Linked DNA regions of Callithrix jacchus. The protein of the gene in region 5 binds, or shares a complex with, the protein of the main gene of each other region. Links are inferred from orthologs where the notes say so. Each region holds a gene or a part of one and is shown on either strand. Other genes may lie near its edges.

Region 1 (4,298 bases), on a different chromosome or scaffold from region 5:
CATTAATAAAGCTTATCAAACAATTTAAGCTCTTTGGAAATACACATCCACTATTATAATTGTCTCTTGCTTAATTAAAACCTTTAATAAAGACATGAAGACTTTTAAAAATGTATAAAAACTCTAAAAATTAAATTTGATTTCATGATGCTTATTTGGTTTTTGTAAGTTTCAGGTGTCAAATTATTTCTCCTTAGAGATCTTGGGGCAATTCCAATGTACTGTTTGAAAATCCCTAAGAATATTTTTCTTTAAAGTTGACAACTATGCACTCTGGGATTCATATGCTATATTTGCAGTATGACGATTTTGTTCTGTTTTCCACCATGGCCTTTTCATACACTGTCTCTCAGAAATGAAAAATTCTGCCTTGAATGAAGAAGTTTTAAACTTTCTTTAAAATAATAAACACGATATTTTACATGTTTATGGCCACTTAAGTTAAAAAAAAACTCTGCATTTACACGTGTCATACTGTTTCACTCTCAAAATTAGTCTTGTAAAGGGAAAAAAGGCATTAAGTTATTCAATAAATTGAGTGCCTGCTGCATGCTAGGCTCCATGAAGGGGCTGCGTGATAGACAAGGCGGTCCCAAAACATAAAATTTCCTTGGGAAGGTAAGACACGGACAGAATTAAAGGCAATAGGTGTAGTACGTGTCTCTTCCAATTGAGAAAGAGAGGGGCAAAAGGGGACTTCTTTGCCACTTTGTGCCAGGAAAGGCACATGTATTATCTCCTAAAACTCTAAAGTCATGTTTGGGGCGTGGTCTCCACAGGATCTGCACAGTCTACTACAGTGTGAGTCCTCAGAAGGGTCCTTTTAACGTCGTGATGGAGTCTTAGACATGATGTGGAACTGGCCTTTTTTACTCGTGAAAACACTGAGGCTCAGGGAGGTGAAATGACTTGGCCAGGGTCACACATAGTGATAGCCGCAGGAGCGCGGCTGGAACCAGGTCTTCTGACGCCAGCCAAGTGCCTCCCTACATCTCTACTCCCTGTGTTAGTTTTGGAAGCTATTTGCTTCCCTCTCGCCCCTCTTCTGGGTGGGGGATGTCACTTTCAGTGAATTGACAGACTTTTCAAAAATAGAAGGGTGGAAAAGACGTTGGAGAAAAGTTTGCTTTCGGCTAGTGAAGAGGCCTGATTCGTTCCAACACCATTTATGGACCTGCTCGTGTCTGGCACTGGGCATCCAGGATACAGCGAAAACAGATTCCCAGCCCTCAAAGACTGAAAAGGGGTCTCTCCCTAGTTAGGGGCGTCTCCAGGTCCTTGATGATCTCCTCTAAGGAGCGGTGCCCAGGTCTCCCCAGGGCTCACCTGCCGGCGTCTGCAGTCCCCCCAGGTCCCGAGGACCCGCGCCACTGGGCCAGGCCCAAGCAGCACCAGGCCAGGAGCCCAGAGTCCCCGCCGTCGCGCCAGCGTCGCGCGCCTTCAGTCGCCACGGCAACCAGGGAGGTGCTGACCCCTGACCTCGAGGCCCCGCCCCTTCGCGTTCCCAATACCAACATGGAGAAAGCCAACCCGGAAGTGCCGCCGCAGCCGCCCTTCGGGTGCTAGGAGCCGCCAGCCGGGCCAGGCCGACGCCAGCGCCGGTTGCCCTCAACTCGCGGCCCGCCCTGCGTCCCGCAGTCGCCTGGGCGGCCGCGTCCCCCGCCCACCTCCACTCCACCCCCCCGGGCGACCCGCCCTCGCCCAAGAGGAGGAGCTGAGGCGAGGGGGAGGAGGAGGAGGGAGAGGTTTGCTAGAGGGAGCGAGGCCCGGTGAGCCGCCGGCGGTTCGTATTACCGGGGTCGGGAGGAGGAGCAGGGCCGGGCCAGCGGACGAACGCGGGGCGGGCGGGAGGCGCTGAGGCGTCTGAGGCTGCCCGGCCGCAAGGAGGCAGGCGGGAGGCCTGGGGTGCAGAATTGGGGCGGTGGGCTCCCTCCACCCCCTCAGCCCTCCGCCCGGGCCCCGGTGGCCAGGCCTCACGTGCCCGCAGGCCTGGGGAGGTGGAGACGCCAGGAGCGGGGGTTCGCGCGGAGGCCTTCACGGCGCGGCCAGGTGATGGTGGGTCCCTGTGTTTCTCCTGACGAAAGGGGACCCTCGGAGCGGCCGTGCCCCTGGGCTGCCCCCGAGAGGCGTTTTGACATCGGCCTTAGGGAAGTCGGGGAGCCCTGAGCCCGCCGGTCTCCGTTAAGTGCCCTTAGGATGCAGTGATTAAGGAATTAGGCTCTCCCTCCGGGAGGGGCACTGCCTGTGCGTGTGAACTCGTGTGCAGAGAAACAGGACAGGATGATGCTGTCCGAGCAAGCCCAAAAGTGGTTTCCAACCCACGTGCAGGTCACAGTGCTCCAAGCCAAAGATCTAAAGCCAAAAGGCAAAAGTGGCACCAATGACACATACACTATAATTCAGCTGGGCAAGGAAAAGTACTCCACCTCTGTAGCTGAGAAAACCCTTGAGCCAGTCTGGAAGGAGGAGGCCTCTTTTGAGCTACCTGGATTGCTAATGCAGGGGAATCCAGATAAATACATTCTTTTCCTTATAGTCATGCACAGGTCCCTGGTGGGTCTGGATAAATTTTTAGGGCAGGTGGCAATCAATCTCAATGACGTCTTTGAGGACAAACAAAGAAGGAAAACAGAGTAAGTTATGTAATTTATTTTAAATTTGGGGGAGTTTATGTCTTATTTATGGGTTTTCTGTTCCTGGAAATTATCCGCATACTTCGGGCGTTGGTTTTCGGACTGAAATATGACCCAGTTTTAAGCACCATATTTGCATGAATCTGAAGTAAAAATAGCACTCGTGGTGAAATATTTTTTAAATGGAATCATTTATAATCCAGCTATTTCTGTTAGAGGTAAACATCTGTCAGATTGAGTATTCTGCGGTGGATTTTAAGTAAATTAACATTGTTTCAGTATAAGAGGACTGGGTCACAGTATTGACCAACTAGAACTTCGTATAAATTGTTATGGATTTTAAACTTTACAATTATCAATGAAATGGAAGATCAGAAATTAAATTTGCCAATGAAATGTTTATGTGTTGCACTTTGTAGCTGTCAGAAGATAAATTACCAGGTTTAGAACTCAGTATTTCATTTCAACATTATAAACACAGCCTTTATTTTAGCTCAGCCATTTTCAGGGGCAGTACGCCTTGATGGGAGTTCATACCTGTTAGAAGAAAAGAAAGTTTTAAAAGTAGGTAACAACATCCTCAACTTCAAATGCACTAACATTTTCCTTTGAATTTGCGATTAGATCAGAGCTATTGTATTACCTCGGAATTGGTTTTGCAAAGCTATTGTGTTTAGACCATATTAAATGCTGTAGGATTGGAGACAATGATAAATTCTTGTGATGAAATGATTCGATGACATCTTCAGTGGCCTCTTCAGCATAACTTTTGAGCTTGAGTTAGATATATTTTAATGTAAAAAATCATAATATAAATTAACACTAGGATATTGTGTCTTAAATTGAAAAAAAATATATGCTTTTAGAGATAGGTATATTCACCCCCTCCTTAAACTTAAAAGAACATTAATATTAATGAAATTAATGAGAGAAAAATACTGGTTGAACTTCTTAGGACTTTCCATTTTCAAAATAGTGTTGGTGTTTCATTCAGTCATAAATGAATTTATTTACTCTTTTAAAAACTGTCTTATAATGATATTTTTCTTCAAGGTTGTGTTAATTCCTGACATTTTTAAAGCAGCTATCTCTTGTTCTTCTCTTTACATTTCTGCTCTTAGGCTTCTCTTGATGGTAGTTTTTTGTTTCATTTTAAATCAAGTCATTACCTAAGATCTAATATATGTAGAATAAAAGTGTAGAGAGATCTCTACACTTTCCTCTGGGAATGCAAGAGGAAAAAGGATAATATTTAATTGAGATTAAAATATTTTAGAAGGAGAAAGTTTTTTAAGAAGTGTAAAGTTGAATATATATCAGTGATTTGAATAGTAAAATTATTTGATACCTAAAGAGTAGCATTCAGTTTCCTCCGAGGGATTCTTTATCAAATTGAAAGTGAAAAATGGATCATTACCAAATAATCTGTTTCAAATTGCCAATTTTGGGTGACACTTAGTAAATATTTAAAGTGTTTTGAATGTAAACCATTAAGTATATTACAACATCGAATTTCTCCCTTGATTTATAGTACTTTAATGTTAATGGATCATGTATTTCAGACCTCTGAAACATAACTTTTCCAAGTGAAAATAGGCCCAAATGTTAACCCAAAGAGTCTGAGGATGAAATAATCTTTTGCAGTTTCTTCTAGTTTTACTCCTG
Region 2 (3,500 bases), about 27 Mb from region 5:
CATGCTGGCCAATATGGTGAAACCCTGTCTCCACTAAAAATACAAAAATTAGCTGGACATGGTGGTCTGTGCCTGTAATCCCAGCTACTCAGGAAGCTGAAGCAGGAGAATCGCTTGAATCCAGAAGGCGGAGGCTACAGTGAGCCAAGATCACGCCACTGCACTCCAGCCTGGGAAGCAGAGTGAGACTCCATCTCAAAAAAAAAAAAAAAAAAAGAATTTCAGATCACAGTAATGATTTTTATACATAAATTCCATTCTTTGGGGTGCAGGAATGGTTAATGATTTGCATTCTTCTAGATAAGGTGAATCACAGTGTAATATAAATAATTATATTTCTGTAAAAGGAGTTTGAAATTTGTAGGATTTTAAACATATTTATGGAGTCTTGTTACTTTGTTTTCAAATATTATTGATAAAGCCAAGGGATAACTGTTTAGAAATGTACTCAATATGAATACTCAAGGATTTTTGTTTTTGTTTTTTTTTATTTCATATGCATTTCTTCCTGCCTTATTCTTCACACTGGTGTTTTTGTCCCTTCAGCTTTCTCATGGAATATACAGCCTGATGTAATCCTTACAGCCTGGGTCAGTCAGAGAGAGTCAGCATCTCCATTTCCTTGAGATGTTTAAAACACAAACAAGCAAATAATAGCTGCCTATAACCCACAACCAAGTTTTGGGCCTCAGATAATAATTCCAGGTAGAATAATTCTGGAAAATAACTCTTAAACTGCAGTTTTTCTTGAAATCCCTTCTGTTTGCTCAACTTGCAAAGGGTTAAAAATCTGGTTTCATTAGTTAATTGTGACATAGCCCAAGTTTTAGCTGATAGATAATTCCTTTACTGATTCTGCTTTTAGATATTTTTTCTTTTAAATTTCATTTTATGATTATTATTTCTGAATATACAATTTCTTCCAAAAATAGGACAAGGACAAATACCAGTTTGGTAAGACAAAGATCTTTTTCCGTGCTGGTCAAGTGGCCTATCTAGAAAAACTGAGAGCAGACAAACTGAGGGCTGCCTGCATCCGGATCCAGAAGACCATCCGAGGGTGGCTGCTGAGGAAGAAGTACCTACGCATGCGGAAGGCGGCCATTGCTGTGCAGAGATATGTGAGGGGCTACCAGGCCCGATGGTAGGTCTCATGGTGACATATTAGGGTGCCCATATAATTCACTGTCCAACCAAGGACAGTTTTAAGTGGTCACCATACCTGAAAAGATAACACCTCACCTTTTCTTAGTTCCAAGGAACAACAAATTAACTCATAGCACAACTAAATAGAATGAAATTCACTCAGCCTTATGAATTATTCGGATTTATCTTCCAAGCATTTACAAACTGCTGCCTACTTAATGTCCTAAAAATTTTTATTTTTGATACTTTTATATTGAGCTTGAGGAGATCGTATATTAATTAAGATAGTCATGAATATGAGCTGGTTAATAATGACTGCACTGAAGAATTTGGGGGAGCAATTAACTGAGATGATCTTGAAGAGAAGTACACTTTAGTGTGATTACATATTAGGTTGATTTTAATTGAGAAGTATAAGTAGAAATGAATTAATGAACTTATATGCTAGTAGATTCAGGAAAAATATGGTACGTTAGTAATGGCTAGATTCAAGAAAGCTGGTGATAACTAAGTGTGAGGTTACTGTGTATGTCCATCTGTTATATAAAGAGGACATAGTAATGGATCCTAATGCAGAAAGAATGAACTTTTTTGAATTTCACTTTCTTGTAAAATCTGGCTATGTGGGCCATCCTGCTTTTCAGGGTAAGGGAGGGCTCAAATGAGATAATAAATGAAAAAAAAACTTTGGGAAACTATAAATTGCTATACAAATGTAAGTAAATATAAATGTTGACTTAGCATGCACATTATTAGAATAATACAATGGAGGTACTACTTTTAATGCCTAAAACAGTGACACTCTTTACATTTCTATAACATGTATTCCTGTGTTTTTTTTCTGATGAGTGACAACACACTGTTATTTTCTTTGGCCAGCTATGCTAAGTTTCTGCGCAGAACCAAGGCAGCAACTATCATTCAAAAGTACTGGCGTATGTATGTGGTCCACAGGAGGTATAAGATTAGACGAGCTGCCACTATCGTTCTTCAGTCTTATTTGCGAGGCTACTTGGCCAGAAATAGGTATCGCAAGGTGAGGCATTATTTTCAACTTTGTTTTTTCATTCTATTAATATTAAACAAATTCCACTTCTATATAGAGCACCACAAGGGCTACAATAAACATAGGAACTGTATGGAGACAACCAGCAATTGAAATGTGTATTTATTTATTAAAAAATATTTTTTTTTTTAGAAACAGGATCTTGCTCTGTCATCCTGGCTGGGGTGTAGTGGTGCAGTCATAGCTCAACTGCAGCCTCAAACTCCTGGCCTCAAACAGTCCTCCCACCATGGCCTCCCAGAGTGCTGAAATTACAGGTGTGAGCCACCGTGCACATGCCCAGCCTGAAATGTATTTTAAAATACTAAATAATCACATATATTTATTAACAAAACAATAGGGAAAAAACATATACTTCTTTTTTCTCTTTGTTTATATAATTTGAAAAAAAAGTATTTTAGTTTCCTTTGGCTGCTATAATAAATTATCATAAACTTGGTACCTTAAACCAACTAAAATTTATTCTCTCAGAGTTCTGGAGACCGAAAGTCCAAAATCATTATCACTGGGGCAAAATCAAGTTGTTAGCAGGCTGCTGTCCCTCCAGAAGCTCCAGGAAAGAATCCATTCCTCCCTCTTGCAGCTTCTGGTTGCTGCCAGCATGCCTGTGCTTGTGGCCACATCAGTCCAGTCTCTGTCTCTGTCTTTACAGCATTTTCTCCTCTGTGTATCTGACTTCTCTTCTCCTATCTGCCTCTTATAAGAATAATTCGGATAGCATTTAGGTTGTACCATGTAATCCAGGATAATCCTCTCATCTGAAGATCCTTAACCTAATCATGTCTACAAAGGCACTTTTTCTGAATAAGTTAACATTTGCAGGTTCCAGGAATTAGCACCCAAATTCCTTGGGGCCCATTGTTTAGATGACTACAGGGAACTTTGAATAGGTAGAATATATGACAGACAGGTTGAAGATTATTCCAAGAATGAGACAACCTTGAGAGAAGTTTCCATGGTCAAGAGGAGACAAAGTATAACATTAATGCAGTTAAAATTGTATTGACAGGTATGATGCACCAAAAGTTTTTGACAAATAATCTTTTATCTAGCAATAATTAACAAGGTCACCAGAGTAATTTTAATTATCACCTGTGACCATTGAACAATTTTTATCTCTCATTTTGGCAAGGTTTGGAGTCTGTCCTATAGGGTATATTTCAAATAAGTGAGAAATAGAAGCCTGGATATTAGAGCTCTGTGGACATCACCATTAGAAGGAGCATTAATGGGGTGATTTGGGTCTCTAATCACAGGAAGTATATGGGTGTGACCTAGGCTCTATTTA
Region 3 (4,061 bases), on a different chromosome or scaffold from region 5:
CTTTCTGCTCTTTCCACTGATATGAAGAGTTTCACTTTAAGTCCAATGAGAGCTGCTCAAGCTTTAGTCACTGCATTTGTCACCGGGGAAGTACCATCCTTTAGACTTTCAGAGGAGCTTTAAAAATTCGGATACCCGGGCCCCATCCTTCCCTGTTAAATCAGAATTCCTTGGGGTGGGGCCTCTTCCTTGGAACCCGTAAAGCTCCCCAGGTAACTCTCATTATGGAGGCGCCCATGTGAAGGACTGCGCAGGTGAATTACAACGGGATCTTGCGTTCCAGGTGGGATCCCTTTGAGAATCACCTTCTGGGGCTCCTGAACTGCCCCAGCTGGTACAGATATATCTTCTGGTTGAGAACCACTTTCAGGGGCCATCCCTGGTTCATGGCAGATGTCACCTTCAGAAGGGAGTGTCTCCTCTGACAGCCCCTGCTCTTCCTCCCAACTCCTGGCAATTTTGTTTTTCCCCTTGGTTGAAATTTCTACTTTCTCCTGGAAGTAGGAGAGGAGCTGAAGTTGCTGTAGGCAGTGAAGTGCCATGGGCAAAGGGAACACAAATAAATGAGGTCGTGAGTGGTAGAAGGACCCGGAGTCTGCAAGTAGGAGAGACAGGGGTTGGGAGAACGTGACTTCCTGGAAAAGCAAAAGTCCCCTGAGAGGAGTGGCCTGGAGTCTGCTTGGAGGGTGAGGGCGAAAGTGGCTAGCATTTTTACAGAAGGAGTTACGACTCCCACGTTTCTGCAAGGATTTCTGCGCAGAGTTCAGTTTGGAGGAGATCCTTGGTGTATGTATATCCGGAAGGCCTTAATAACGATCTGAGAGTAACTGAATTTTAATAATGAAAGCGCTGAATACAGCCAGGTAAAAATCGAGGGCAAGGTCTGGGGGCCTTCCAGTCATAGACGCTTCTCTCTTCTTTCCCCCTCTCTTGTTAGTTCCTGTCCCCTTTTATTCTGCAACGCGTTCGTGCGTGTCTCCGCCGCGCCCTGTGTTGGTGGAAGCGGAGCGCGGCGGGGCAGGTGTGGGCACCGGGGCGCACCTGTGCCTGCGCGCGCGCCGTCCAGCAGGGGGCGGCCCGCACTGGTCCCCGAGCTCGGCTCGGAGCGCCCCGCCCCCGGCCCCAAGGCCCCGGTGGCATTGGGGGCGCGGGAGGGCGCGTCAGGCCGGGCACCGGCAGGGCTCAGAGGCGCGGCGGCGCACCGGCAGTCCGCTCTGACGCGCGCGGGTCCTCCCTCCTCGCCGGCCCTCGCCTCCTCCCTACACCTGGGCGGGGAGCGGCGCCGAGCGGCCTCCTCCCCCGGCGCTCGCAACTCCTGCCCGGCCGCAGCTGCGCCGCAGCCTAGGGAGTAAAGGTCGCGCCGCCGGGAGGGAGCCGGGAGCGAGCCGGCAGCTGAACCTCCGGGAAGCCGGCTCGGCAGGTCCCGGAAGAACGAGAGAGCGAGAAACTCCAGGCCAGCCCGGGAACATGGCGCTAGGCGGGCCGGCAGCGGACTGAGAGCCGCGGGGCAGCGAGGAGCCGGGGCCCGAGCCCCGCCCGGCCCGAGCCATGTCGGTGGGCGAGCTCTACAGTCAGGTGAGCGCGGCCGCGGGGGAGGCGCCGCGGGGAAGGGGCGGTGCGCTCGGGCCACCTAACACTCAGGATCGCCTTCTCCCGCGACTCCTGGAGGCGGGAGGTGACGGGAGACCCCTCCTGCGGTCCCCCTTGTCTCAGTCCTCGGCGTCCCTAACTTCGGTTGGCGGAGAAAGTTTGGCGATTCCGGGAACGCCCGCACTGACCGGCTGCCGGGCTCCTGGAGTTCCCGCAGTGCCACTGCTCAGCCCCAAGCTGGGTCTGTCGCCCTCTTCCCGCCGCGCCCCCTACTTTCGTTGCCCGGGTTCGGCTCCAGCTGAGTTCTCAGAAACGCGAGGGCGACCCTGCCAGCTCTGAGCGCTGTGCGCCGGACGGTCCCCCGCGGTGTGCCCGCGCGCAGTACCCTGTCCCCACCGTGGACTCCGCCCTGGGGGCTCTGCGGCGCTGGCTCCCGAGGGCGCGCCTCCAAGGCGCCCTTTCCTCCCGTATACCCACCATAGGGAACCCTGGACTTGGAAGAGGTGGGGTTCTGCACTTGGTGGAAAGGGAGGAGGCCCAATCTGGCGTGAGGGCGCGGCGGCTGGACCGAGTGGGGGTAAGCGATGGGTAGAGGGTTGCTCCATTATCTCCAGAGACCACAGGAAAGAGCGGTGTGAATTTGCCAGTGATGGGCATTTTGACGCCGGCCCCTCTGGTACCTAGAGGGCTTCAGTGAGTGCGGGGAGGGGGTTGGAGTAAAGCTGAATCGGGAGCAGGGTGTGAGTTTCAGGATGCCTTCAAGGTCAGAAGGGATGTGCGAGGCTGAGTGCTCCGAATCGGGAACAGGTGCAGCCGGGGCGGAGACGCCCGCGTTCAGCAGCAGTTGCTGTGGTTAAAGTTAGGGACGAGCCACCGCTTCTCCGGGAGCTCGAGGCAGCGTTGCAGCCGCCCGGGACCCCTGGAGTTTCAACCTCTAGTCAGGAGTGAGAGGGCAAAAGCCTTTACACATGTGACCCATGCCCCTTTAAGAAAACAAGTTTTGGATAGTCCAATGCCTGGTTTTCCTGTTCGTCTTCTCGGGCGGCGAGAACACGTTTGACAGTGCCTGTGTACATGCCTCCGTGCAGAGTTGTGTGCGTGTGATGTGCACCCGCGTTGCATGGGTGTACGATTCCCAGGACACCCGCCCGGGCCAACAGGTCTGGGCGGGGTAGGAACAGTCACTTCCGCGTCCTTACCTGGCGATCACTCGCGGCTGTCCAGCGCATGTGGGAGCCCTTTGGCTCCATTGGCTGTTCACCCGTCTAAGTTTGAGGAATTTTCAACTCTCATCTTCCTCCGGGAGGGAAACAGGGCTGGGATGGGTTCACTCTCACCCGGTGGCCGCGGAGGCTGTCACTTAACTGGGGGGTGGGACCGCCGCAGCCTCAGATACCGCCTCCGAGCTCACCGGGGACCCCCATGCAGCGATCAGGGATGGGCGACGGCCTCCGGGGGAGGAGGCGAGAGCCAGGGCGCGAACTTTGTGGTAGTCCTGGTGTTGGAACGACACCCCACTTCTCTTAGCTGTCGAGGTCTTGGGAGGATCCCTAAAAGCTCAGCTTTCAGTTTTTTCCCTGAAGCCGGTTAGGTTATCAGGAGCTCAGACTGGAGGCAGAGGAAAAATCTGAACTTGAGTACTCAAAGAGCCGAAGCTTTGTAACATTAAGGTGCATGGAGGTACAACTTGTACTTCTAAGTAAAAGGGGTGACTCGACTGAATATGACTACAATGTGACAAAGTTCCTTATCAGGCAATATTGAATTGCTGCATTATCCGAGGGGGAAGGTTTGGGGGGGGGGGCGGAAATGGAGTTAAAAGATAAAATAAGAAATGTAAACTTTATTTCTCAACGTAATTTCCATCAAGCTCAAGACACTTTTGTGATACCAGCCACTTAATTCCTCCCTCAAGAACTGAGGTTCCTGGGAGTTTTAGCATGTCAGTGCAGCCTCTTACATTTGTGGGAAAACTTCAAGATTAGGACACGACCTCAGAAAGAGGCAAATCAGGACTGTGAGGTGGACCCCTAATAGTTTTCCATAGAAACTCTTGTGAAATTGCTCTTCTTTGAGAGGAATGAGAAGGAGCACTGTTGTGGCAGAAAAGGACTTTCTGGTGAAGCTTTCCTGGGAGTTTTTCTGCTGAGCTTTGGCTTCCTCAAGACACTCGTAATAAACAGATATCATCATCATTTGACCTTCTAGAAAGTCAAGCAAAATGGCTTGAGCATCCCCCCAAGATGTTGCTATGGTCTCTGCTCTGAACCAGTCCACTTTTGCTGTAACTAGACCTCTTGGCAGTTATTGCTTTGATTGGTTTTTGCTTTGGTATTGAACTGGGAGAGCCACATTTGATCCTCTGTTAAAATTCAAAGAAATGTCTTGATCCCACTTGTTTAGAATTTCTATGGAAAGCTCTGCTTGTCTCCAGTTGATCTGGGTGCAGCAGTTCTGGTATCCATCAAGTG
Region 4 (2,345 bases), on a different chromosome or scaffold from region 5:
CAGGTAATGCAGCACGGAGGGCCAGAGGCCTGGCAGAGATACGACACGGCACAAGAGTCAGGCTACAGAGGCAGTGTGTGTCATCTGAGACAGGGTGAGAAGGCTGCTACTCACCTCGTTCTACTTCACATTCAGGGGACGAGGCCCCACTGCATTCACTTCGGGGGCCCAACACTGGGAACATCATCCCAAACTCTGACAGGGACACAGGGCTGGGCAAATCCAGGCTGCCAGGCCTCACAACCGCAGGGAACTGGTCAGGCATCTCAGACGGGCTTGTTGGTCCTGAACTAAAGCTGGACACAGACTGGGTTTCCGAGTCATCTTCAGACACAAAGTTGCTACAGCTGTCATCTTCAAAGGCCTCCGAGGCCACTAAGTTGAGAAAGAACACCAGTCACATGGGATCTGTCACCTCAAACACTCAGAAGTGCTTGCTGCTGCCAGGCAGCTAGACACAGCACAGGAACTGCAGAATCTGTCACTGTGAGTGCCTAATGAAGGAATGTGACTTCCCAAGCCTGAATGACCAGCCTCTAAAGCAGCTGGATCCCATAGCTATTAAGTGCCCTTCCAATAACCTTAGAACCCTGCCGAGAAATCAGTGTCACAAGACACTGCCTAAAAATGGAACATTGATTCAGCCACAAATTAGGACCTTTTCTCTACCTCAGTCCCCCAGACAGATCCTCATATACACAGGAAGAGGTTCTGGTCATCTGTAACATACTCCAGACAAAGCCAGCTGGACTTGGGCTTCTTTCCTATGTCAAGAGAAGCAAGAGCTACTAGAAGAAACAGGCCAGTATGGAATATCTGTTGGGACCTTTGCTGTATTCCAGGTAACTTCTGATCTCATAAAGGACACACGCAGAATCACCATTTGCTGCAAAAGACCAGAAGTCCTTTACAGTGCTCTGTAGCTGTGTGATTTGGTAGGCCAAAATAACAAGGCCCAGAGACATGCTGTTCCCATGATTTCAAAACCTCTTTGGCCTTCAGCAGTTTTCCTTCAGCTTGCCCACAATCCCACTCCTTAATAGAACTTTCCTACTCCATTTTTCCCCCTCTTCTCCTTAAAAACAGCCTTGTAGCATTCCATAAAGGTTTCTTATAAATGATAAGTACTGTAATACTGGAGACAGAAAGTGGGCTAGACATGAATTGAATCCTTAATTCCACGACTTGCTGTGTGACCTTGGTAACTCTAAACTTCATAATCTTCTCCATGCAGGATTTGAGATGATGTACATTAAAGTAACTCATACATAGTTGTTACTCAAATGATAGTTTCCTTTTCCTTTACCTTGAACCTGGCACTTAAATATTTGCTGAAGGAATTAAAGAACTTCTGAGGAAGGAGCTTGGGAAAGAGCCAAGAGGGATTATCCCACAAGTAAGGAAAATAAAGGAAGTATGCAAGGACAGTGTCGGGTGGGTTTTCTTGATGAACAGAACAGAAACTACATCCAGGGGCTGGCCCTGGGAAAAAAGGTCTCTCTGGTCAGATGCCAGTAAGAGCCACCATTTGCTGAATGCTGCTTGGGTGCCAGGCGTTGATTCTTGTAATTCGAATCACCACCCTACACAATGCAGCATATACAGTAGATACTATCGTACTCCCCATTTTACAGGTGAAGAAACTGAAATACAAAGGCCCTTGCCCACATCATGCACTAGTAATGATGTAATGGCAGATTTGAATCAAATCTGATTCCAAATTCCCTATTCTTAGCTCTTCTTTCCTGCAGGACTTCTCAGCCTCGAATGTTGTAGTGAATACTTTGACTCCCAAAGAAGAGTGACGGTGTAACTTTCCCATTTATTTGACCACAGAATCATGACTTTGAGGAACACTTAGTACCATCTTGATGAACACAGTGTTCCATAAAGCATGGGAAGCCACCAGAAGTAGGCTTCAGGCCTGCCCAAGTCTGAGACCCAGTGATGGCAAGAGAAAGTGAGGACCCTGGGAAACCAATCACACAATCTGGTATCTGCCCATTTACCCAGTGGGGCCCCTGACTTACCAGAAATGGCATCAGGCTCAGGTTTGTTCCCTGACAGATCCTCCACGGATGTGCTGCTGCCCTCAGCCCCAACACCACAGCCCCGAGGCCCCATGGCACTGGAGCGCCGCCGCTCATGGATCTCATCTGATATCATTTCTAGGTTCTTCAGGGCCATCTTGTACTCCCCTTTTGCCAGGGTCAGTTTGGCCTGCAGGTCATCCACAGTCTTCTTCAGTTGCTGGTCGGGAGAACAGGAGACTAAGTCAAGACTACTCTGCTAGCCTTAAGATGCCTTCTGAGTGACAGGTTCAGATACACTTTCTGCCCATCATT
Region 5 (3,968 bases):
TGATTGCACCACTGCACTCCAGCCTGGGGGACAGAGGGAGACCCTGTTTCAAAATACACACACACACACACACACACAAAACCACAATAACTTCTTTCACATTACTATTTATTGAGTCCTCATGGTTAAAAGTTTACAGTCTCATTTAATTCTCACAACAATCTTAAGAGGCAGGTATTTTTCTTTTTATACATGAGATATCTGAGACTCAGAAAAGGGAACTTTTCCAAGGTCACAAAGTAAATTTAAGACCTGAGTCAGGATCTAAACTGAGGTCTACGTGATTCCAAAGCTCAGTGCTCTCAATCGTTGTTAGAAGGATGGTCTAATCAAAAAGTTGAAAAACCTTAGGCCAATTTAGAATATTTAACATTCTTTGCTTAAAAAATTAAAAGACCAGCCGGGCGTGGAGGCTCATGCCTGTAATCCCAGCAATTTGGGAGGCTGAGGTGGTCGGATCATGAGGTCAAGAGATCAAGACCATCCTGGCCAACATGGTGAAACCCCGTCTCTACTTTAAAAAAAAAAAAAAAAAAAAAAAATTAGGCGTGGTCGTCCGCAGCTGTAGTCTCAGCTACTCAGGAGGCTGAGGTAGGAGAATTGCTTGAACCCGGGAGGCGGAGGTTGAAGTGAGCCGAGATCGGCCACTGCACTCCAGCCCGGCGCCTGGCGACAAAGCAAAACTCTGTCGCAAATAAATAAATAAATAGACCTTCTATAACCAACATTCAAGTTGAAACCAAACAAGAGAAATACCCCGAGGGTCCATTTTGTTCTGAATTAATTACTTCAAAGGCAGTCAGTGGCATACTACCACCACAACATATTTTAAAACACAAACCTCCCTTTAACCCCAAAGCCTCAAAAGACTCAAATAATTTCACATCATCTCAGATGCCTTCGGCAAAAGGTATGTTGTAGTATACTTTCTGTAATCCAGGCCTCAGTTTTGTATTTGTAAAATGAATTAAGTACCCTGAAAGTACTTTCCAGTATGGGGGTGAGGGTGGATACTGAAAGTGTTCACCCTATACAATAGTATATTCTGGGTCAGAGGAAGAGTATGTATGACAGCAGGCTAGCATAACAAGATTTGCAAAGTACTGGGAAAGCAAAGAAATCTTTCCTCCCTGGTTTGGTCAATCATTCTTAGCACCCAATGGCAAAGTCAACAGTCACCATGCTTAACACTCTTTAAACTCCACCCTCCACAGTAAAGCTTTAATAGCAATAGCTTCTTCCTCACTGCTAATGATCTTTGTTCGGCACGCTACTGATGGCTACCTTCCCAATTCAGGAGCAGAGAAAGAGCATCAGAGTGAGAGCGCATTCACTGAACAAAAAAAGCATCTACTGTACTCTCTTCTCACTGAAAAATGTACCCTTTATCTTCGTCGATTTAAAAAAAACTATCTGGATTCTTTCCGGACTCAACCAATAAGCAACTCTTTCTAACCACCCCGACCCTCCTTTATGTTTTAGCCAAGGACCCTACATGTTTCCATATCTTATAACAAATATCTAATGTGACCAAAAGAGTACACAACTTCCTCCCACCCCCAACCTTTTGGGAAAGGTATGTGGCCAACTAGGGCTCTTCCCTTCCTGTTGGATCCTCCCAGTGTTGCAGCAGGAAGCAACCAGTCCAGAGAGATAAAGCAAGCTAGTATTTGTGCAGCGCACAACCTTTCCTGCTCAGGAACCGGGCCTTCAGGTCTGGCAAGGATAACAGCCACCACCCATCCGCAAACCCTTCTCGCGAACCGAGTCAAGAGTTACCCAGGGTTGGGTGCTACTGGATGGGGAAGGCAAGAGAATGAAAGGCTAGGTGGGAAGTAATGTCAGCCTGCCGGGTCACTGCGACAAGTGCGCGCGTGGGTGACGGGCGATCCCTCTTACCCTCCCTCCCACTACCCGGGTCGCAATGGAGACACGGGAGCTCTAAACACAATTTGGGGAGGGAAGGTAGAGAAAGAGTTGCCAAATGGGGAGTGGGGGAGGGAGCGGTCAGAGAAGGTTAAGGACCGCGAGAACCGCCCGGCGAGAGGTGGGGGTGGAGGGCGCGGGGCGGGGGAGGGGTTGGTAGTTGGGGCCCCCGGTCCGCTCACATTTTACGGGGTCCTGGACCCGGGATGGGCGAAGCTAAGAGCGGGCGGCAGTCCGAAGGGAGGGAGGAAAGGGGGCAGATAAGAAAAAGACCTGTAGTGGGAGTCTGCGCCGAAGGAAAGGCAAGGAGGGAAGCGAAGAACCCGTCAGAGGGGCTTCGAGAGAGGACGCGAGCCGGGAAGGTTGTACACCGAGTGGGAGGGGGCGCTACACCCAAAAAGAGAGACGGTGGGAGGAGCGGCGGGGCCGTGGAACCCGGGGAAAGGAATTCCACGATGTGGGGAGAAGGCAGTTCACCGGGGGAAGGACACGCAGGGAGGGGCTCTAAGGCCAGCGAAGGCCTCCATGGAGGTCGCTCAGAGCGGCAAGTGACGCGGACCCCTGTCTGAGCGGGGAGAAGACGCCGAGCTGGGTAGGAGCCGGAACCGCACAGAAAGGAGGGGCTGAGGCAGGCCTATATCAGCGCCGGGGTGGCCGGCAGGCGGGTCCGCCGGGAGCGTCCGAGGTCCCCCAACGGGGACTGTGTAGAGTGCGAGAGCCCATGGCCTCACCTTTAAAGAGGTAGTCGTACTCGTCGTCGCGGGTGCCCATTGCGCGGCCGTGGAGCGAAAGGGCGGGAGCAGCAGTGGTATCTGTGGGACCAGGGGGCGTCGCTGCAGGGGTAACCCGAACGCCGAGCTTCAGCGGCCGGACTGGGTGGAGAGCCCCTCCCTGCAGCTGCGCCACTTCCGACAGGCCCCAGCCTCTAAGAGGAAGTACTTCCGGGGGCGGCGCCCCGCCCCTGAGCTCAAGAAGGGCGGTGTGCGCGAGAGTCGCATGGCTTAAGACTTCAAACTTTCGCTGCTAAAAGAAGCTCAGAGGGGAAATTGAGCCCTAGAATTACTAGTTCACCATGGTCTTAGTGGCCTCTTGCTCATTTCTCGAGCTACCGTGCCCGGAAGCGGCTCGCTGGAACCGGCCAGACCGCCTCTGGGTGGAGAGTTTGTGGATGGGGGCGGGGTTCTCTAAGGGTTAGTGAGCCCAAGGCAGCTACACATTCGTGGAGGTTCCATGGTGTAATGGTTAGCACTCTGGACTCTGAATCCAGCGATCCGAGTTCAAATCTCGGTGGAACCTGCACTGCTTCATTTTTTTCCTTGACAATGTATATAGTTTTTTCTTGACAAGGAGTTACCCAGGCTGGAGTGCAATGGCACGATCTCGGCTCACAGCAACCTCCGCCTCCTGGGTTCAAGCAATTCTCCTGCCTCAGCCTCCAGAGTAGCTGGGACTACAGGTGCGCACCACCATGCCCAGCTAATTTTTATATTTTTAGTAGAGACGGGGTTTCACCATGTTGACCAGGATGGTCTCGATCTTTTGACCTCGTGATCTACCCGCCTCGGCCTCCCAAAGCGCTGGGATTATAGGCGTGAGCTACCGTGCCCAGCCCTCTTGACATTTTTAATTCACATTTTTGTTCACTAAGTAATTGAACAACTATGATATATCTTCACTAGAATTAAGATGGAGATGTAAAACTTAACCCTTGCCTATGAAGACCTCACAAATTTCCCACTGCATTTCAGGTACTGTCTGCTACTTGGTGGGGGTTGTCTTACTGAGCCTCTTCTCTTTGCCTATTTTTTAGCCTGGTCCCTCAAACCTTAGTTCAGAAGCTTCAATGAAACTTGAAAATTTCTTTTGCTGGAATTTTCTACCTCCAGCTTCATGCAAGGGTAGGCGCTTTTGTCACTCATTCCTCTCTGGAAATCTTTCAAACATTTAGAGTACTTCGCCCACCCTCCTCATCAAGATTCATCAAGAACTTGAGTCCTATTTGTAGGCCTCTAATCTAAGTCCTTTTACATAAGTATTTCATT
Region 6 (4,209 bases), on a different chromosome or scaffold from region 5:
CTCTTTTCCCAATGCCAGCCTCACAAAGTCTGGTCCCATGTACCCTGGGATTCTGCCAGGGAGATGACTCAGTTAATTAACACGCTGCTCCTGACGGTACACTTGGAAGCAGAGGTTCCGTTCATTTGGATCTTGCCGAAGCCGCTTATGAAACCGTAACTTATCTTGGTGCCCATGGTATGTAAAAATACAAGTTCATCATTTCCCTGATACATTTCATGACAGGCTAAATTTAGCGCCTCACGCGCTCCTAACTAGCCTGTCCCACCATCATGCCTGCTGCCAGGGCTGTGGTCCTGTTTGAGGTCCTATGTCCCTCTGAGGACAGGGATACTTGGACACAGAAGTCACTTGCCAAACGCAGCCACGGTGCCCGGGAGGCTGGCTAAGGACGGGCGATTCACGCTGGGTGTCTTCTTTAATCTTATTTTTTGTAGAGACAAGGTCTTTCGGTGGTGCGCAGTCTGGTTTCGAACACCTGGGCTCCAGCCATCCTCCCGCTTGGACATGGGCCACCGCGCCCGTCCCAACGCAGTGCGTCTTGGAGACCTTGGTTACAGGCTTAAGGGAAAGGCCGCGCGAGCCTCTGGTTGCCACGGGCATGCACCGCGTGTCTGGGGCCCCTCCGCACTCGGTCTCAGACCCTGCGTTCCCCGGGTCCGCGCGGGTTCTGGGCATGGCCTCGCCCTCTGCCGGGTCTGCGCCCCGCAACTCCTGGAGCACCCGCTACCACTAGGGCCGCGGGGCCAGGCGTGCGCCTCCTCTCGGTCTCATCAGCGTGAGAACGCTCCGCCCCGGAAGGGCTCTGCTCCAAGGGGGCTGCGTGCCGGTTCGTCTTTCGCTCGCCGCGCGGTGCCGTTTACCCCTCCGCAACGGGCGCAGGTCGCTGTCGCTGTCGCCGCAGCTGACCCAGCTGTGCACGACCTGACCCAGCGCGCCCCTGTTCAGGGACGTCACGTCACTTCACACCCGCGCTCACAGCCTCTGGGCACCTCCACGTCCGGCGCTTGAGACAAGGAGAAACGCCAGAATAACCTCGCGGTGACGGCCGCCGCACTGCCGCGGCATTCCCGGCGCCCGCCTTTATAGCAAACCGGAGAGGGGCGGGGCCGGCGCCGCCCGGACGTGCTGACGTCAGGCCCAGCGGAGGGCGGGGCCGGGGCGGTGGTGGAGGCGGCGGCGGCGGCGTTAGTTCTCCGGGTACCTCCGGCGCCTCAGCCTCCTCATCCTGCACCACAGGCTCCGAGGCCTCCGTTCCCCTCGGCCCCGGACCCCGCCGCCCGACCCCTCGCCGCCCTTCCCAGGCCGCCCCGTCGCCATGGGCCGGCGCCCGCCGCGCTGCCGGGCTGAGGGCAGCTGAGGCGCGGCGCGAAGATGGGCGAGGACGGAGCAGGGCCCGAGCGCCAGCCCCAGCAGCCCGGGCGCCCCGCGCGCGCCCGCCCGCGCCGCCGAGGGGATGCCCGCGCCCGCCGCCGCGCCCTGAGCGCCTTTGTCTGCCGCCCGCGCCCGCCGCACCACTAGCCTCTCGGGAGCATGGCGTCGGCCCCGCCGGCCTCGGAGCCGCCGGGGCCTGACCCTGAGCCTGGCGGGCCGGACGGACCGGGGGCGGCGCAGCCGGTGCTGGGCCCCGCGGAGCTGCGCCTCGGAGCGCCAGCCGCCGGCCCCGACGCGGACTCCCCGGGCCTGGGCGAGCCTACGCCCGGAGCCGCTGCGGATTGCGGGGCGCGCTGGAGCGCCGGGCCGGCCCCGAGGCTGGAGGGGAGCCCGCGGCATCCCGGGCCGCCTGCGCCGCCGCCGCGCTCCCCGGGCCCAGGGCCCTGCTTCGAGGCGCCGCTTCCACAGCTCGATCCGTTTTTCTCCTGGACCGAGGAGCCGGAGGAGTGCGGCCCCCCGAGCTGCCCCGAGAGCGCGCCTTTCCGCCGGCAGGGGTCCGGCCGCGGCCGCCGAGCCCGGGGCGAGGTCGACCTCTTCCCGCCCTTCCCCGAGCCCACGACGGGAGAGCTGGCGCTGGGAGAGGGTCCCGGGGCCCCGCCGCAGCCCTCGGACCTTGGCCATGCGCACCCCCTTTCGAGCGAGCCCGCGGGGAGTCAGGAGGACGGCCCCCGCCTCCGAGCCGTGTTCGATGCCCTGGACGGGGACGGGGACGGCTTCGTCCGCATCGAGGACTTCGTCCAGTTTGCCACGGTCTACGGGGCAGAGCAGGTACGGAGTGGCCCGGGCCGGGGCGTGGGAACTGGGCGGGCGCGCGGCCCCTGCAGTCGGGAAAGGCACTGTCGAGACCTGCGGGTCCTGCTTTTTTTTTTTTTTTTTTTTTTTTTTTTGCTTATTCACCCCTTCGGCCCTGGATTTCTGGTTGAATTCGCTGGAGTCCCTCTTCCCCCCCCTTAAAAGGAGGTTCTATTCTGGGGAGTCCGTTTCTTCCCCTCCCCCCAGTACCTGGTCAGCTGGATCTTACTGAGGTCTGCTCCCGGCCTGGGGACACCCTCCCAGGGACCTGATGGAGGTGCCCCTGAACGAAGCGTCCTGCGACTCTCCCACCCGAGGGCCCAGACACTGCTTGGCTGAATCCACCCAACTTCAAGCCGCAGAGGCCAGACTGCCCAGGCACCTTGAGATCTGTTTTGAGCACGGTTACTTTACGATGTATGGTTGGCATCTTTCCTACTTAGGTTTCATCTTTTATTGTTTGGGAGATGGTGAGTGCTTGTAGAAGGGCCTGAAATCAAACATTTTCACTTTGGTGCCTTTGGGGAGGAAGGCAGTGAGTCTCCAAGCTCGTATGTGAAACGCTCGGTGGCAAACACAGAAGTCTAGCAGAACGCCGTTAGGGCCACCTCCACTCTCGAAGGAGAGGTGAAATGCATGGAGAGGCACCATGCACAGTACGGTGTGCCAGGGGGTCCGCACGGTCCTCAGGGCGCCTGCTCCTGGGGGGAAGGTGGGCCCCAAGGTGGAGTGGTTTCTGTCTACCTCAGCACTTAGTAAAGTTTAAGTGGAGGTAACCGCAGGGCTGTGTGTGTTCTGCCAATGACCCAGTGGACATCAGGTAATAGTGTTCACTTCTAAACGTTTTACTTAGTAGGAAATCCCTAAGGTGCTGATCTGTCAGTTTCTGTATGTCGTTGACTTCTCACACATGCAGGCATCTGCTACGTGGGTGTCCAGTACAGATGCGTGTTTAAGCCAAGAGGTCTGTAAGAAAAGTGTTAAAATTGGCACATTGCTATTTAGGGTGTCAGTCACGATATTAAGAACCTTGATGAATCCATATGCCCCCTGAGCATCCACTGTATCCTTCGAGAGTGTCAAGAACAGGGTCCTGATAAATCGGGGCTCCTTGCTGAGTTCACGCTTAGACGGGCAGACAGGTGCCTGCAGTGCTCCCTTGCTTACCTCCGGCTGGGGTATTGTCAGGATGGCTTTCCACCTAGTCTAATGGGCACTGAAATATGTCACTGATAGTTTCTTGTATGGTCAGCGTGGATGGTGGTTGCTGGTCCAGCTGCTTTGCTGTGTTTCCTTCTTGCCCCTGGGCTGGAGAGCACCTTGAGCTCCCTTGGTTGCTGTTGGCTAGTGTGCCGTGTCTTCTCCCAAACATACTCTTGCTTCAGTACAGCAGAGTAGAGTGCCACGTCTGCTCTTCATTACCGTAACCCAGCGCTGATAGAGAGCTTCTGTGAGGCGCAGGTATGTTTCCACTGGATCATCAGCGCAGTCCTCTGAGATGGTAACTAGGCAAGCAGGATTCATCCCACTTCACAGGTGAGAAACCCGAAACCCAGAAAGGTCTCTGCCAGAGCCCAAAGCCTCACAGGGGTAGAACTAGGTCTTTTGGCCCTGAGGCTTTAGATGGCTCTTCTTAGTTCGGTGGCTCACAATATCCCTATTGTGATATTACTTTATCTTGTTGACTTTCATACAGTTCTTTCTTGAGAAAGATCTTTTGTCATAGCTTCCCTTATTGATCACAACGGGAAAAACTTTGGGGTTGCTCTTTGGGGCTGAGCTTTCTTGTCATCACAAAGTAGAAATGAGTGAGAATTCCTTAGTCTGACAGCACTTGGTGGAATTTGAAGGTTGGGGACAAGGGCTGGGTGACTCGGGGTTTGGTGAGGATGGGAAAGTGGAAGGGATTTCCTGTGACATTACTCCTTCTGTCTGTTCTGGACGGCTTAGGAAGAAGCAATTCTGGGCATGGTCTGAGTGCCT

Evidence for each region.
Region 1: the proteins of RAB11A (region 5) and RAB11FIP2 are in contact, whole or in part, in a crystal structure (PDB 2GZD), measured with the Homo sapiens proteins. The link is inferred for Callithrix jacchus from reciprocal best matches to the Homo sapiens genes RAB11A and RAB11FIP2. Residues at the interface, in NP_004654.1 of Homo sapiens: Arg33, Ile44, Gly45, Val46, Glu47, Phe48, Ala49, Thr50, Lys61, Trp65, Arg72, Arg74, Ala75, Ile76, Ala79, Tyr80, Arg82; in NP_055719.1 of Homo sapiens: Glu478, Ile481, Asp482, Asn483, Leu485, Val486, Met489, Glu490, Pro493, Ser494, Leu496, Arg497, Val498.
Region 2: the proteins of RAB11A (region 5) and MYO5A are in contact, whole or in part, in a crystal structure (PDB 5JCZ), measured with the Homo sapiens proteins. The link is inferred for Callithrix jacchus from reciprocal best matches to the Homo sapiens genes RAB11A and MYO5A. Residues at the interface, in NP_004654.1 of Homo sapiens: Arg33, Glu35, Ile44, Gly45, Val46, Glu47, Phe48, Ala49, Thr50, Gln63, Trp65, Gln70, Tyr73, Ala75, Ile76, Ala79, Arg82; in NP_001369276.1 of Homo sapiens: Ile1660, Gln1661, Trp1738, Met1742, Arg1745, Tyr1746, Ser1749, Gln1750, Glu1753, Arg1756, Gln1777, Gln1780, Val1781, Lys1782, Lys1784, Met1795, Glu1818.
Region 3: the proteins of RAB11A (region 5) and MYO5B are in contact, whole or in part, in a crystal structure (PDB 4LX0), measured with the Homo sapiens proteins. The link is inferred for Callithrix jacchus from reciprocal best matches to the Homo sapiens genes RAB11A and MYO5B. Residues at the interface, in NP_004654.1 of Homo sapiens: Leu11, Lys13, Arg33, Glu35, Ile44, Gly45, Val46, Glu47, Phe48, Ala49, Thr50, Gln63, Trp65, Glu71, Arg72, Tyr73, Arg74, Ala75, Ile76, Thr77, Ala79, Tyr80, Arg82, Gly83; in NP_001073936.1 of Homo sapiens: Ile1627, Gln1628, Gly1629, Leu1630, Trp1706, Met1710, Arg1713, Tyr1714, Ser1717, Gln1718, Glu1721, Arg1724, Gln1745, Leu1747, Gln1748, Leu1749, Lys1750, Lys1751, Glu1755, Ala1759, Leu1763, Tyr1779, Glu1786.
Region 4: the proteins of RAB11A (region 5) and SH3BP5 are in contact, whole or in part, in a crystal structure (PDB 6IXV), measured with the Homo sapiens proteins. The link is inferred for Callithrix jacchus from reciprocal best matches to the Homo sapiens genes RAB11A and SH3BP5. Residues at the interface, in NP_004654.1 of Homo sapiens: Tyr8, Asp9, Tyr10, Leu11, Lys13, Glu35, Phe36, Asn37, Leu38, Glu39, Ser40, Ser42, Thr43, Ile44, Phe48, Lys58, Gln63, Trp65, Tyr73, Ile76, Ala79, Arg82, Gly83; in NP_004835.2 of Homo sapiens: Asp42, Ile45, Gln46, Leu49, Glu50, Asn53, Thr56, Ile59, Asn60, Glu63, Thr64, Glu67, Lys240, Tyr243, Leu247, Leu250, Glu251, Ile253, Ser254, Asp255, Ile257, His258, Arg261.
Region 6: the proteins of RAB11A (region 5) and RAB11FIP3 are in contact, whole or in part, in a crystal structure (PDB 2HV8), measured with the Homo sapiens proteins. The link is inferred for Callithrix jacchus from reciprocal best matches to the Homo sapiens genes RAB11A and RAB11FIP3. Residues at the interface, in NP_004654.1 of Homo sapiens: Arg33, Ile44, Gly45, Val46, Glu47, Phe48, Ala49, Thr50, Trp65, Arg72, Arg74, Ala75, Ile76, Ala79, Tyr80, Arg82; in NP_055515.1 of Homo sapiens: Asn731, Phe732, Gln735, Ile738, Asp739, Arg740, Ile742, Val743, Met746, Glu747, Pro750, Ser751, Leu753, Glu754, Val755, Lys756.

The regions. Positions count from the first base shown.
Region 1 is NC_133513.1:110,981,909-110,986,206, reverse strand, and holds the start of RAB11FIP2 (rab11 family-interacting protein 2), read left to right. Parts: upstream 1-1,498; 5' UTR 1,499-2,280; coding exon 2,281-2,633; intron 2,634-4,298. UniProt on the Homo sapiens protein: A Rab11 effector binding preferentially phosphatidylinositol 3,4,5-trisphosphate (PtdInsP3) and phosphatidic acid (PA) and acting in the regulation of the transport of vesicles from the endosomal recycling compartment (ERC) to the plasma membrane.
Region 2 is NC_133509.1:40,063,488-40,066,987, reverse strand, and holds part of MYO5A (unconventional myosin-Va), read left to right. Parts: intron 1-932; coding exon 933-1,144; intron 1,145-2,025; coding exon 2,026-2,182; intron 2,183-3,500. UniProt on the Homo sapiens protein: Processive actin-based motor that can move in large steps approximating the 36-nm pseudo-repeat of the actin filament. Can hydrolyze ATP in the presence of actin, which is essential for its function as a motor protein. Involved in melanosome transport.
Region 3 is NC_133514.1:93,367,797-93,371,857, reverse strand, and holds the start of MYO5B (unconventional myosin-Vb), read left to right. Parts: upstream 1-1,261; 5' UTR 1,262-1,548; coding exon 1,549-1,575; intron 1,576-1,890; exon of another isoform or gene 1,891-2,167; intron 2,168-4,061. UniProt on the Homo sapiens protein: May be involved in vesicular trafficking via its association with the CART complex. The CART complex is necessary for efficient transferrin receptor recycling but not for EGFR degradation.
Region 4 is NC_133518.1:54,072,434-54,074,778, forward strand, and holds part of SH3BP5 (SH3 domain-binding protein 5), read right to left. Parts: intron 2,251-2,345; coding exon 2,031-2,250; intron 376-2,030; coding exon 115-375; intron 1-114. UniProt on the Homo sapiens protein: Functions as a guanine nucleotide exchange factor (GEF) with specificity for RAB11A and RAB25. Inhibits the auto- and transphosphorylation activity of BTK. Plays a negative regulatory role in BTK-related cytoplasmic signaling in B-cells.
Region 5 is NC_133509.1:12,876,713-12,880,680, reverse strand, and holds the start of RAB11A (ras-related protein Rab-11A), read right to left. Parts: upstream 2,801-3,968; 5' UTR 2,698-2,800; coding exon 2,658-2,697; intron 1-2,657. UniProt on the Homo sapiens protein: The small GTPases Rab are key regulators of intracellular membrane trafficking, from the formation of transport vesicles to their fusion with membranes.
Region 6 is NC_133513.1:2,679,903-2,684,111, forward strand, and holds the start of RAB11FIP3 (rab11 family-interacting protein 3), read left to right. Parts: upstream 1-1,409; 5' UTR 1,410-1,533; coding exon 1,534-2,202; intron 2,203-3,627; exon of another isoform or gene 3,628-3,762; intron 3,763-4,176; exon of another isoform or gene 4,177-4,209. UniProt on the Homo sapiens protein: Downstream effector molecule for Rab11 GTPase which is involved in endocytic trafficking, cytokinesis and intracellular ciliogenesis by participating in membrane delivery. Recruited by Rab11 to endosomes where it links Rab11 to dynein motor complex.